Saccharomyces cerevisiae S288C: one gene and its partner. The protein of the gene in region 1 interacts with the protein of each later gene in a biochemical or structural test. Each region holds a gene or a part of one and is shown in the gene's direction. Other genes may lie near its edges.

Region 1 (7,482 bases):
CATTGGGAGAAGTTGCTGGCGTGCATAGGCATCAAAGACAAAAAGGCTGGTGAGAGTTCGTCCAGGGAAACCAATCCAGGTTTGGCTAGAGAAGAAAAGTCATCCAGAGACGTCCATAGGAAAAATGCAAGAGAACGGATTGCTGAGACTACCTTAGAGATCCAACGTCGTGAACAACTGAAACAAAGAAAGCTGGCTGAGGAGGAAAGAGAAAGAATTATAAGACTTGTTAGGGCAGACCGTGCAGAAAGAAAAGCTCTTGATGAAACTCATCACAGAACCCTTGATGATGATAAGCCATTGGATGTTCATGATTACATAAAAGACGCACAAAAACTGCACAGCAGCAAATGCGTCTTGCAAATCAGGATGACTGATGGCAAGACTCTAAAACATGAGTTCAACTCGTCTGAAACATTAAATGACGTTAGAAAATGGGTGGACGTCAACAGGACAGATGGAGACTGCCCGTACTCATTCCACAGGGGCATTCCCAGAGTGACATTTAAGGATTCTGATGAATTGAAGACGCTAGAGACACTAGAACTAACTCCAAGGTCTGCATTATTACTTAAACCACTAGAAACTCAAAACTCGGGGCTATCTGTGACTGGGATGGAGGGACCAAGCCTTTTGGGCCGTCTTTATAAGGGATTCTCTACGTGGTGGCACAACGATAAAGATCCTGAAGTAACATCACAACGTGAGGAAACATCGAAGCCGAATCGTCACGAAGTGAGGTCTTCAACACCTTTATCTGGAGCTGCTTCGTCAAGCTGTTTCCAATACAACAATGTTCGGGAACCAGTTCAATCATCTGCTCATGCATCACCAATGCTGACACCTAGCGGAACCAGGTACCCATCGGAAACCAACCTTACTACGTCACGTTCTGTCTCGCCAAATGTTTTCCAATTTGTTAACAACGATCATCAAGAAGATCCTGAAGACCCAACAACCTTTAATGGTAATAATGTCCATTTAGAAAAGAAAAAGGACGAAGATAAAAAATAAGTAGTTAATGGCTTCAACTCCATTTATGACTAGTATTAGACGTGAATTTTTTTTGATTAGATTACATAAAAAAATATACAGTAATTTTATTTACATGGATTTTTGTTATAGCTGGTATTTTTATATCTTTTTTTCTGTTTCAAATGCATATAGAAAAATTGAAGAGTAAGTTTATATAAACACCTTAATTACGGGATTAAAAATAAAACAAGTTTACAACTATAATCACCGCAAAAGAACTCAGCGAAACAGGAGCAATGAGTGAGAAAGAAACAAATTACGTGGAAAATCTCCTTACGCAATTAGAAAATGAACTTAATGAAGATAACTTGCCTGAAGATATCAACACACTATTAAGGAAATGTTCTTTGAATCTTGTGACTGTTGTCTCCCTTCCAGATATGGATGTTAAACCACTACTGGCTACGATCAAGCGTTTTCTGACGTCTAACGTATCCTATGATTCATTGAATTACGATTACCTTTTGGACGTTGTGGACAAGCTTGTTCCCATGGCTGATTTTGACGATGTTCTAGAAGTTTATAGCGCGGAGGACTTAGTGAAGGCCCTTAGGTCAGAAATAGATCCATTAAAAGTAGCAGCATGTAGAGTCATTGAGAATTCGCAGCCAAAGGGTTTATTCGCGACCAGTAATATCATCGATATTCTATTGGATATTCTATTTGATGAGAAAGTGGAGAATGATAAGCTCATTACAGCAATCGAAAAAGCGTTGGAAAGGTTGAGTACAGATGAATTGATTAGGCGTCGATTATTTGATAATAATTTGCCATACCTGGTGAGCGTAAAGGGTAGAATGGAAACGGTTTCTTTTGTCAGATTAATTGACTTCTTGACTATTGAGTTTCAATTCATCAGCGGTCCTGAGTTCAAGGATATCATATTTTGCTTTACTAAAGAAGAGATACTGAAATCCGTTGAAGATATCCTCGTTTTCATCGAATTGGTTAATTATTATACTAAGTTTTTGCTGGAAATACGAAATCAAGATAAATACTGGGCTTTAAGACATGTAAAAAAAATACTGCCAGTATTTGCTCAACTTTTTGAAGACACGGAGAACTATCCTGATGTCAGGGCCTTTTCTACAAATTGTCTTTTACAGTTATTCGCAGAGGTGTCACGAATTGAGGAAGATGAATATTCTTTATTCAAGACTATGGACAAAGATTCTTTAAAAATTGGGTCCGAAGCAAAATTAATAACCGAGTGGTTGGAATTAATTAATCCGCAGTACTTGGTAAAATATCATAAAGATGTGGTCGAAAACTATTTTCACGTCAGTGGCTACAGCATTGGAATGTTGAGAAATCTTTCAGCAGATGAAGAATGTTTCAATGCTATAAGAAACAAGTTTAGTGCTGAGATTGTCTTAAGACTACCGTACTTAGAACAAATGCAAGTAGTAGAAACCTTGACGAGATACGAATACACTTCAAAATTTCTGCTCAATGAGATGCCAAAGGTGATGGGCAGCTTGATAGGTGATGGGAGCGCAGGTGCTATTATAGATCTTGAGACTGTGCATTATAGGAATTCTGCCTTGAGAAATTTACTGGACAAAGGTGAAGAAAAGTTAAGTGTATGGTATGAACCTTTATTGCGAGAATACTCCAAAGCAGTTAACGGAAAAAATTATTCCACAGGCAGTGAAACTAAGATTGCAGATTGCAGATGATTATGTTGCATAAGCGCAACTATAAAGGCGGCCTTGATTGTTTAATGTACTACCAGTATTGATTCCTGTCTGAATCAAAAACTAACCTTTTGGCGAGGTGGCCCATTCAGTTTTCTTCTCCATAAATTGTATAAATCAGTATGTAAGGTCTGGCAAGTACTTATAATTCACATTTCAATGTCTATGTAGCATGCATGATTTTTATTATAAAGAAAAACTATTCGCCTAAGCGCGTTCGTTTCTTTCCCACTAATTGCGAACGATTTGCCTATATAAATACTTAACGGCACCCCAATCATCCACACCCTCTGAATGCCGTTCTTCAACTACTTTTAAATCACTCTCTTTTAGTAATAATTTCAAAACCTCTCGTTCTTTGGCGTATTTTGCCCTTAAAGGTATTTCTAGGTGACAGGTCCCTGATGCCGCCAAAAACTTCGATATCATGTTAACTACCCATTCCGGATGCTGAGGCGAATATATCGGGTCGGCGATCAATATGACGTCAAATTCATTTTCATGTCCAAATTTATCTATAAAATCGTGAGGATTAGTCCAATCTAATATCTCTGCTTGAACGAAATCTCCTAAATTATTTAATGACACATTTTTCTTCAAATTCGTCACAATCTCGGGTAAATCCGTCACGAAGATTTCTATATTTTCAGTTCCATAAAGTTCTTTCCATTTTAAGGCCCATGAAAGTCCTACTAAACCAGTGCCCGCTCCTAATTCTAATACTTTAATCTGTTTGATGTCGCTGTTCGCTAACATGTTCACATTAGTGGTATGTAGGTAATCCAGGTGATCTACGACTAATTGTGAAAGTATTAAAGATGATCCCCATGTTTTCCAACCAAGATTATCGGCCGTTAAAGAGGGTTCATGAAGCGGTATGGAAGTGCTTAGATTTCTTAATTCAAAATATCTTACTATGGATGGTTGGGCCGTTCTCCCACAGTTTTCGGATATCCTTGAGCTCAATTCCTTAAGAAGTTCTTGTATGATTTCCTCATTCAATCCGCAACTATTATTGTATTTTTTCAATACACTAGTATAGTAGCCCAACAGTAGTTCTTTGGATACTGTAAATCTCAGCATTGGGATTTTATTGCATATCTTTTCCAACGAGTTTAACCTCTTGTTAGGCCATTCTTCTGTATACCAAGTCAAAAGTCTTTTCAGCAGATCGGGTTCCAGCCCATGACTCTTGCAAACCTCCAGTACAGATTTGTTCTTCCCTGTCTCCTGATTGAAGTTTACTTGTCTATCGGGCTTCAGAAGTATTAGTATACAAAGGATAACTTCTGGCGGAGCATACTTCACGGAGGGCAGATCCAGATTATCGATAATGGTGTCATCGTCGTCACTCTCTTCTTCATCTACAGCCGTTAATATTTCGTCACGTTGCGGTGAGCAAGGATCTTTTGGCTCTCTCTCTGCTAGATTGAACTGTAAAGCCTCAACCTGGATGTCATCAGGGGTGTACAAATCGAGAGGATCAAACATAGTGAAATATCCGCTATGGAACTCCTAACTTGCATGAGTTAGATACTTGAAAAGTAATATACAGATTGCACTACTATTATTTTGTAGCTCATCGCGAAATTGAAGAAAAAATTTACGATTGGAAAAAAAAAAACTACTATCAGAAATAGGTGAACCAATTTTAATGCCTGGATAGAGCTGCATACGCTACTAGCTTAAACCAATATTGGTGTCGCCTGTTTTCCTTTACCCAATCCAATATACCACTATACTGCGAATGAAGGTGTTGAAATAATTTGACAAGAGCACTTTATCCATTTTGCATGCGACCTTTACTAGCAATTTTTCAGCGATCTTTGCGGGCTTTAAAATAAGGTCAAAATTAAAGGGAGAAAGATAGAAGACAGTAAATAAAAAATACAAACCACAATAAGCATAAGTGGCTAGGCGAGTCTTAAACTACAGAGTCAAGCAATGGCAACAGACCTAAATCGTAAAAGAAGTGCTACCTCAGGCTCACTGAGCGTCACGAACCCGAACATAAAAGCAACTAATCGCAAACCAGCTAGAGTTTATAGTGTTTCTTCTGATATAGTACCGCAAGCGCTGACACATCCCGACGAAGATGTGCATCTAAAAACATCCAAATCTCCTCATGATGCCGCTCCTAGATGGTCACAGGTGGGGTTTCAATCTATATTCCATGATGGTTCCAATGCAAGGCGCTCGACGGATTCGATTGAAGAGGAGTACAGCCAAGGCACGGAGAATAACGATGGTCACTCCGAAATAGGTTCATCAAGTAGTAACCGAATGGAGGGGAACACCACGTCTAATGATAGTTTATTTTCTTCCAACTCAAGGGGCAATAAAAGGCGACTGTCCATCTTCACCAATTCAAAAGATAATATGAGAAATCGAAGCAGGAGCGGGTCAAAAAACTACGGCACTGTTATTACCGGCACAAGTAGTAACAACATAAGTAGGAGTGGCTCTAAATTGTTTCATACGAAATCTAATATGAGTGTGAACAGTTTACAATCTTCACTGTCTACAGGACATTCTCATTCAAACAAAGGCAGTAATGTCTTTAGCAAAATGGCAAAAAAGCTTTTACCCTACAAGCCGCATAATTCCATTGGTAAAGACGACGTTGAACCCGTAGTTCCCAGCCCATTCAGTAAATTTCTGCATTCTTCATATGGTAAACATAGGTCACCCGTACAGTTTATCCATACTTCTACTGGAGGCCTTATTGACTCTGGAAAATCTGTATATTCCTTTAACCCTAGCATTAACAACAACCCTAATGATACAGCTCTATCGCTGATCCAAGATGATGCTTTCGACGCGACTAATGTTTCTTTACTACATGATTTACTGAAAAACTTGCCATCCTTGATAGCAAACTATAAAAGCTTCACCGTACAGGAGTTATTTGTTCTGGAGGGGAATATCTGGGGTATATACTGCAGCATAGTTGTGGAGCTATTTAAAAACAAGAGGGTATGGCAATTGCCAGCAAAAATAGAAGATATTGACCGGCTGCTGGAATTTTATATCACTTTGAAAACACAAACCAAGGCTGCCGTAACGCACTCAAGGTTTTTGGCCGAAATCGAGGAATTCATTACCACTTCACTTTACATTTTAGAGAACCAGATTGTGTTCAATTATGCCAATGAGGATACCGTAAATACGGCTTTGAAAAGAGTCGGCATAATCTGGAAGGTGTTTTACCAACAGGTTTACTACGACATGATGGCAGTGTTACTGCCCTTCGAGAAAAGCTTCCAAAAAAATAGTAACTACTGGCTTGACGGATATCTATCTGAACCTTCAAGGTACGCACCGTCAATTGATGTCCTTTTATTAAAGTGTTTTAGAGACTCCATCATTCTTCCGTATTACGAAAGCTTCCTACATACAAATGACGGTGCCAGTAAGAGTTTTCAAAGATATATTTTCAGCGAGGAAGAACAGAACGGCGTCACAGAGGAAGATAAACTGACGCTGCTGCAGTGTTTTGGGATCCTGAATACCATAAAAGGTAACAGCAGAAACCAAAGAATTATTGGTGAACTTCTTGAGGGCATACGCATGAGTATATAATTAAATATTTTATTTAGTAATATACAATAGTGGCATATAGATAGGTGTATTTCCTTTTTCTTGTTCCAAGAATCCGGAAAAACAGATGCTCTTTTCCGCCCTATAAAGGGGCCAATGGGGAAAGTGCAGATCATATTAACTTGCTAAAGAGTCAGAAAGAACCAAATAATAAAAAGAAGAACTAATGTTGTGCGCCATCAAAAGCACAGGTTATCGGTATCCTCGCACGGGAGCCTTAAATCTACTACGTGGACGACCATTTAATATGGCCACCCGAAAAATAACTACTGAAAGGATCCCCGGCCCTCCCAAGCTGCCAAGAGAAGAGCAGGAAGAGTTCGAAAGACTTCAGAGGATTGCCACATCGCAAGAGGCAATAGATCAGTATAATGCGCAGGCCACCGGCGATCGTACAAAGGAGAGTTTGAATTCACCGCTTTTAACCAAAAACGATATTGGGTCATTCTCGCCTGAATTTTCCAAGACCATACCTGAATTCGAAGGTGATGTTAACCCCAAGACTGGTGAAGTTGGGGGTCCCAAGCAGGACCCGTTGAGACACGGCGATTATTCGTTTAACGGAAGAGTAACGGATTTCTAGATATTTGGTCCGGCCAATTTTTAATAATACTATTCTTATTTGATGAAACTGCGTAACGTTCAATTTACTTTTCAATATGTATGTTGTTATGCTTTATTTTGAATATATAATATATATATGTGTGTGTTATGAAATGCATACGTTTCATGTTTGCCTAAAATCTCTTTCTTGTGAGCGTCCTTCGAATTCTTTTCGAGTATGAATTGAACCTATTTCGCATGTTTTTCGTGGAGACAGTCTTTCTAGTGCTTTTTAACCTTACCTTTGGCATGTTTTTGATCTTTACACTGGGCACATTCATACTTATCTTAGCCATGATTGACAATTCAACTATCTTGTTTCTTGCGAATTTGTGGTACTCTAAAGGATTTAATTTTTAACGTTTTGTTTGTCCCACTTGGTATTCCCCAGGCGAAAAGATATGTGGGAACTATCATGTTTTTGTTGGTACAAAATAAGGCATTATGCTAAAAACATACTATTTAACCACGTACACACATATTTATTTACAAGGATACCAAACTTGATCTTATTAACGGAGGCTTAAAGTTGGCTCAAGAAATTGTT
Region 2 (7,561 bases), on another chromosome or scaffold:
CCCTTTTCAAAGACCTAAATCTTGTTTCACAAGAGCTTTACAGATTGGATGATACGTGTCCTTGAATTTGTCGAAAGTTGCAAGTGCCAATCGACGGTCTACAGAGTTTAATAGTCTGTAACCGGGACGGACAAACTTCATTCTACCTACAGTTCCCAACCAATCGGCCAAATGCTTATATTCTTCTTGCAGCTTGGCAAAGATCTGAAATTTGAACATCTTGAAAACAACTTCCGCGTTCTGTGATTTAACAATGTTATCTTGATAGATATCTAACAGTGCCCTAGATGCCACGGGAAACTTGGCCCAGTCAAAATCTTTTGGTTTCTTGTTGGAATGGCCATTTTGTGTCAAAGTTTCCAAGAACAAAACCAATTGATTTGAATTAAAATCCTTAATGTCAATAGCGTTAAATTCAGACCGGAAATCCTCTGTGGTTTTCAAATGTTGAGCCATTTCGACCCACTTGTCAGCCAATTGATAAACATTATCAGCCAAAGCCGTAATAAAATGAGGCCTTGGTGGCATACCTGGTTTATACAGCCAAGTTTCCCAGTCAACGGAATCCAAAATTTCTTTCTTTTCGGGATAGAACTCATACAAAGTATCCAAAAACTGGAAAGTATCCAATGATTTTTTGGCAAACTTCTTGAAATAGTGTCTAATAAATGGATCAAATTCAGCCTTACCACCCAAAATAGTTTCCAAGTGAAATAGTAAGTTGAACCCCTTTTCGTACGGAACAGTGGAAAAGGCATCGTCAGGGTCAGTGTTATCGTTCAAGTTTTGTACCAAAGTGGAAAATCTTTCAGGATCTTTCATAGAATCAATAGAATTCTGCAAATCGCTCCAACCAATCAGAGCACTGAAATGTCTAGTTGGTTCGCCATGAATGGCACCAATAATTCTTCTTTCTAAGTAAACGGTCCAACCTTCATTCAACCAAAAATGATTCCACGAACAATTGGTCACTAAGTTACCAGACCATGAGTGAGCAAGTTCATGGGCGATGACATCAATGTTGGATCTGTCATGTGCAATCAAGGTGGGCGTAGCAAAAGTCATATTCGGAGACTCCATACCGCCGTAAGGGTACGAATCGACGTTAACTAAGATATCATAAGTGCCCCACTCGTATTCAAAGATAATTTTCTCTGCAGTTTGAATGAATTTCTCTACATCGTTTTCAAATTCCCATTGACAATCTTTCAAACGAAATGGTTCAGTGTAAACTGTGGAACGAGGTCCAATTGGAGCGCTTGACAAATCACCGGAAGCAATACCGATCAGGTAGGCTGGGATAGGGACTTTCTGTTCAAATCTGTAAATATTAGTATCCTTGCTTGTATCTTCAATCCTGATGCCTGAAAAAACCACTGGTAGTGGGGACTCGATAGATGCAGTGAAAGTAGACTTCACAGAGGGAGTATCAAAGCAGGGGAACAAAGACCTCGCATGAATAGCTTCCAACTGTGAAAACACGTACGGTTTACCGCCCTTGGTTTGCTTGCTGTTCAACCATTGCAAAGCGGTGCACTTGTCAGTCGTACGAAATTGAATATTCAAGGTAAAGTTATCGTTGCAAGAAGCGTTATTGATGACTAACCTGGAGCCCAATGGCTCCTTTCTTTGCTCAATTTGAAAATCTGCCTTGGAACCATCAATATGAACCTCCTGGACATCCAAATAGGATGTATCCAGATGTAATTCATCCGATTTATTTTTACCTTCGTGCAGTTTTTTCAATTGGAATGTAACGCTCCCTGAAATGGCTGACTTTTCGAAGGAAACAGACAGGTTTAAATCGGTGTGAAGAACTGCGAAGTCCTTATAATTTGATAAAGTAGACTGATCGTATTCGGGGGAGCGGGAAGGTCTTCTCTGCTCAATTGAAAGAGGCAACATTTTATGAGGGGTGGAAATGTGTATGTTTCTTGAGATTACAGTAAGTAAACCTCGAAATCGAAGCGTGGGCAGGTAAATAGAGCTGGAATGACGAATGACAAATGGAAGCAAGAACATCAATTAGAACACCAAGATAACCTAATACATAAAGCAAACTATACTAAAGTGCGTTTATATAAGTCAAACGAAAAAGTGGAAGAAAAAAAGTGACATGATTTTCCATACGCAATGCCCCCGGAAACTGAAGACGCATTGTGTCAAAAGATGAATGAAAGCCACGACGAAACAGCCGAAAATGGTGACAGGAGAGGGCCAACGAGCCCCGTGAGAAGACCTGTGTAGGGCGTACCCATGAAGGAGGCCCCTATGATTTTCCATTTGGAAACACTCAGGATGTTTTCTGATGACTGGATGATGATGTCCTTGAGGACCAGGAGACAGCCAAAAAATACAATTGAGATCGCGAGCACAACAACCAAAGGCCTTGTGTTGATGTCATAGCGAACATACCTTTCATTGATATGATGCGTAGATGGCGTTACTGACGGTGAGCTGTTGTACATAGAGTTTTTGACTCTCACGCTTTGATTATCCCTAAAATCACCCGGAATTCTGTACTGGGATTCAACCGGCACTGCCTGCTTCTGTACCCTTCTTTTATGCAGCAGCTTCCGCAGTTGGTTAGTGGTTCCGCATTTCTGTGATTTGCTTCCATCTACAGTTGAAGTTTTCCTCTTAAAGAATTGCCCAATTGACCTCTTTGATACGTGCTCCATTAATATCTTGCGCCGAAATTGTCACACTATGCTCACGTATGATTAGTGTATTTATATATGAATAATTCAAATGGCAGGCAGTTTCTTGTTCGAGCCAGCATTGGCGAAAAAAATGCCAAAAGTAGAAGTAAATACGGTAGACACTCCAGCAAGATAAAGCTGCAATATATAACACATCACGGCGATGCTTGTATATTTAGGAGCTCTTACGTCCACCAATGCTAATATATCCTCCTAATGATGGCGCTGATACTGGTAAAAACTCATAATGGTAGTAGTCATTAGCCAATACCTGCCTCTTTTTTCCGGGTCATGCCGCATTCTTTAATCAAAAGGCGATGCAACCTACTACATGAGAAGATGACCGCGCAAGCAAAGGTTTAGGAGAGCGTTATACGCTTTACCCAGCCGTCCATTGCACCATGTCTTACCAACGGAACAGTGCAAGAGCCTCTCTTGACCTCAGAAGTCAATATCAACAACTGGAAGGCAGAATGAGGTCAGAACATTTTAATCCCGCCTATCAACAGCAGCAACAAAAAGGCCAGAACATACCCCTGTCACTACCCTCGTCGCTTGCGCAACGCAATCCTATACCTTACCCTATCGACGCTGTGACTTCCGATCCCACTATCCCGGCTCAGTTGAACGTATATGATCACGATCGGCAAAATTCGATAGTCGATGCTGCGGCTGGCACCAATACGACGCACTCTTTGAACTCTAATAATATTCCATCATCACAAAATAATAATATTAATAATAACAATATCAATAATGTTGGTTCCTTCACTGACCCTTCCATGCTAACGCTGCCAAAAATGTCTTTACATAGCCACCAGAAGCAGTATGATTCTAACCAAAACGATCCTAGGTCCCCTCTGGCGATACTGATACCGACTTCTGCGCAGCCCACTGATGTCTTGTCTGCTAGGTTTTCTGCCTGGAGAAATGTTATTCGTGCCATCTTGGTATATCTCTCTGAGACCGCCTCAATACAGGACGAAATAGTTAGACAGCAACTGAGGTTGTCCCATGCTGTGCAGTTCCCCTTTTTCAGCATTGAAAACCAATATCAACCGGTCTCTAATGAAGACAAGTCCATGCAGAAATTTTTTCTGCCCTTAGGAAGTGGATCCGTTCAAGATTTGCCCACGATGCTGACCAAGTATCATGATAATCTGGCCTCTTTGGCATCGAAAAGTTCCAAGGAGTTGACCAGTGAAATTATACCCAGGCTAGAGGATTTGAGAAGAGATTTACTAGTCAAGATTAAAGAAATTAAGGCTTTGCAATCTGATTTTAAAAATTCCTGTAACAAAGAGCTTCAGCAAACTAAACACTTGATGAAGCTTTTTAATGAATCATTAAAAGAATGTAAATTAGGTACACCAAAGAGTGACCCATTTTTGATAAAATTGCAATTGGAAAAGCAAATCAAAAGACAGTTGGTGGAAGAAAATTATTTGCACGAGGCATTCGATAACTTGCAGAATTCAGGGGCCCAGTTAGAAAGTGTTATTGTAATGGAAATACAGAACGGATTGACCAGCTACGCTAGAATTCTTGGCAAAGAAGCCCAAGTTGTATTTGACTCAGTTATCTCTAAATTAGATTCCACGATACTGAACAAAAACACGAATCTTGAATGGGATAGTTTCATTCTAAGGAATATTTCCAATTTTGTGCCTCCAAATTTACCCATGAGGAGGTTTAAAGAGATCTCGTATAGCAATCAAAACGATCCTTTTACTTTTGAAGTTAAATCTGGGTTTCTGGAGAAAAGATCAAAATTTTTAAAGTCATACTCACGTGGGTTTTATGTCCTCACTCCAAGCTTTTTACATGAATTTAAGACACCAGATAAGCATAAATTTTCCACACCGTTAATGTCAATACCATTAGTGGAATGTACTGTCACTGAGCATTCCAAAAAGACGAAATCCAACTCAGAGCAGGGCAAGAACAAGTTTATATTGCGTACGAATTCTAACGGACTAATACATAGGGGTCACAACTGGGTATTCAAAGTAGACTCTTATGACGATATGATAGAATGGTTTGGAAATATCAAAGCCTTATCAAGTTTGCCCAACTATGACGACAAATGCAAATATGTGAGTAAAGTTGCCAAACTGTCTAAAGAAAAAGCCAAGAGTAATGAAAACACCACGGAGAGCGTGACCCCCCAGGTAACTAATGAGCAACATACGAGATACGATGATGTGAGTAGTAGCAATTTTCCCTTGAATTCCATTCCAAAATTAGACAATTTGACAATCACTAACACCACGTCATCGATACCGGAAACGAATGATTCACAAATTCAGAATAGGGTTCCTGAATTTTACATTGAAAATGTAGATTCCCCTAGAAAAAGCAATCAGCTGTGACAAGTAAGTTAATTATATAGTAATGCTCTAGTTTGTATGTAATATTATGTATAAGTTTTCTCATAAACAAGGCTTCTATTTTCAAAAAACATCAGCCCCTTTCCTCCTCTTCTAATAATTTACAAATAGGATTCAGTACAAAGTTTTCCCAATCTTTATCAAACTTCAAATCAGAGAATTTATACAATGAATACTGCTGGTTTCTTGCGCCCATCACCCTTAGGCAGTCATAGTCCAGTTTCGTAATTTGTAAGAAAAGGTCGGACAAATTAGGGTATCTCAGAGGATCTTTGGTTGTGTTATAATCAGGATCACTCGGCTCTTTAAAGAAAAATCCAGTAGTTTCACCATCATCTTCGAGTTTTGCAAAATATTTCTTTTGTAACTCCCATTGTGGTGGAGCTTTTCCGATATTCCCGTTGGCATCCCATGGAGTAACTATATCTAACAATGGGCCCGCCGAGGCATGAACTATGGGGATCAAACCGGAAGCCATATACTCTACAACTGCAATTCCAAAGTGCTCATTCCACATGGCATTAACACCGAAAGTAGATTTGTTTAGTAATATTTCAATCTTATCGAAGGGCAGATTTTTTTCGAATGATATCAAATGTTTAGGAATTTTTAATACATTTTCTGACCAGTCTTGTAAACTTTTAACATAATTTTCATCTTGCTTGGATCTAGTGGACCCCGCCATTATCAATTTAATTGGCGATACAGAATCCGGTAAATTTTTCAAGAAAGTTGCAAAGGACTCAATGATTAACTTATGACGTTTCTCAGGACGAAATTGTGCCAACACAATTGCTTGATTTAATCTCTCACCCTTTGCAGTACCAAACTTTTGCTTCCAATCTACTAATTTCTCAGTAGAGCATGGAGGATATATAATTTTACACGTATTGGATTGCCAAATTTGCTTTATGTGGTTATTTGTCCATGTTGAGTTTGTGATTACAATATCAATTTTAGAACCAATGGATTGATAAATTAACATAAAAACTTTCCAGTATAATATTTTACCGTAAACTTTGATACCCTTCTTGGGCATTTTGAACAGCTTATTTAACATGTCTTTTGACATTATCGGATAATGCGTATATGTGACGATAGGAATTCTCCTCAAAAACCTAGCAATAATAGGATAGCTGAAAGGGTACCCCATTGTATCAATCCATATATCAGGTGGACACTGAATAATGGATTCAAATGCGAGAATCATTGATCCAATTGCTTGTCCAATCAACGTGAAATGCTTCCATGTTGAAGAATCCACCAAGTATCTTAGCTTCAATGAAATGAAAAATATTCTATCCGAATCCAAGTCGTAATCGAACTTCGCTTTCACATTATTTAGAATATTCTCCGGAGTAACATTCTCTCCATTCACAAAATCCCCTGAATAAATGACAATAACGTTCTTAGCATCTTTTCTCAAAGTGATATCTACAGCTTTCCAGAGCACTTTTTCCCCACCACCACCAGCATTACAATACGGATGAAAAAAACCAAAAACTTTCACATTCTTCTCACCACAGGAGGCAACTGCTCTGTTCAGTAATGAAGATTTTTTGGAGAACGGATTCAAGCTGGAATACACCCATTGACGGAAGATCCACGTGAGAACCTTAATTAGTCCATACACTAGTACTAAAGATGATACAACATATTTTTTGAACCCAAAATGAGACTTAACCTCTTCAAAATTGTAGTTTGTCCAAGCACTGCCCATTTTCGCCTGCAATCACCTGAACATGTTGGTCACACTTGGATACTAACATCTATCTTCACTTCACTTACCTCTCAATCTTATTATTTATTGAACTTTTCACTTTTTGTTTAGCTTACCCGAAGGACATAGATGTAGCGATGACAACGATGAATGATACGTCAGTTAAAAGGGTCTTCGTCGAACTCTTCATCTAACCCTTCATTTGCAGTGTGCTTGGTTGATGAACCTTCTTCCATTAATGATCGACAGCTGCAGTGAATAATGTCTCATCATAAGAAGAGGGTGTACCCTCAAGCTCAGGTGCCATACATTGCAAGTATGCCAATAGTTGCAGAGCAACAGCAGTCTCAACAACAAATCGACCAAACAGCTTATGCAATGGGCAACCTACAATTGAACAATAGGGCTAACTCATTTACACAGCTAGCTCAAAATCAACAGTTTCCTGGTTCTGGGAAAGTGGTCAATCAACTATACCCTGTGGATTTGTTTACAGAATTACCTCCGCCAATCCGTGACCTGTCTTTACCACCTCTTCCAATCACCATTTCTCAGGATAACATTGTGACTCCATCCGAATATTCAAATGTTCCATACCAGTACGTCAGATCTACTTTGAAAGCGGTGCCAAAAACAAACTCTCTGCTGAAGAAAACGAAGTTACCATTTGCCATTGTTATTAGACCATATTTGCATTTGCAAGATTCAGACAACCAAGTACCGCTAAATACTGACGGAGTCATTGTCCG

What was found.
Region 2: the proteins of BIT2 (region 1) and SLM2 form a complex in vitro, tested with the Saccharomyces cerevisiae proteins (one study listed by BioGRID).

What each region holds. Positions count from the first base shown.
Region 1 is NC_001134.8:741,593-749,074, reverse strand, and holds BIT2 (Bit2p), read left to right. Parts: upstream 1-4,676; coding exon 4,677-6,314; downstream 6,315-7,482. Other genes in the region: UBX7 (Ubx7p), read left to right, coding at 1-1,014; HSM3 (Hsm3p), read left to right, coding at 1,272-2,714; EFM2 (S-adenosylmethionine-dependent methyltransferase), read right to left, coding at 2,964-4,223; SDH8 (Sdh8p), read left to right, coding at 6,499-6,915; mitochondrial 54S ribosomal protein mL54 MRPL37, read right to left, coding at 7,459-7,482.
Region 2 is NC_001146.8:537,424-544,984, reverse strand, and holds SLM2 (phosphatidylinositol 4,5-bisphosphate-binding protein), read left to right. Parts: upstream 1-3,103; coding exon 3,104-5,074; downstream 5,075-7,561. Other genes in the region: LAP2 (bifunctional aminopeptidase/epoxide hydrolase), read right to left, coding at 7-2,022; YNL046W (uncharacterized protein), read right to left, coding at 2,163-2,681; alpha-1,2-mannosyltransferase ALG11, read right to left, coding at 5,166-6,812; COPII subunit SFB2, read left to right, coding at 7,074-7,561. UniProt on the Saccharomyces cerevisiae protein: Together with SLM1, effector of the TORC2- and calcineurin-signaling pathways. Phosphorylated and activated by TORC2 under favorable growth conditions. Mediates actin polarization via inhibition of calcineurin-dependent transcription.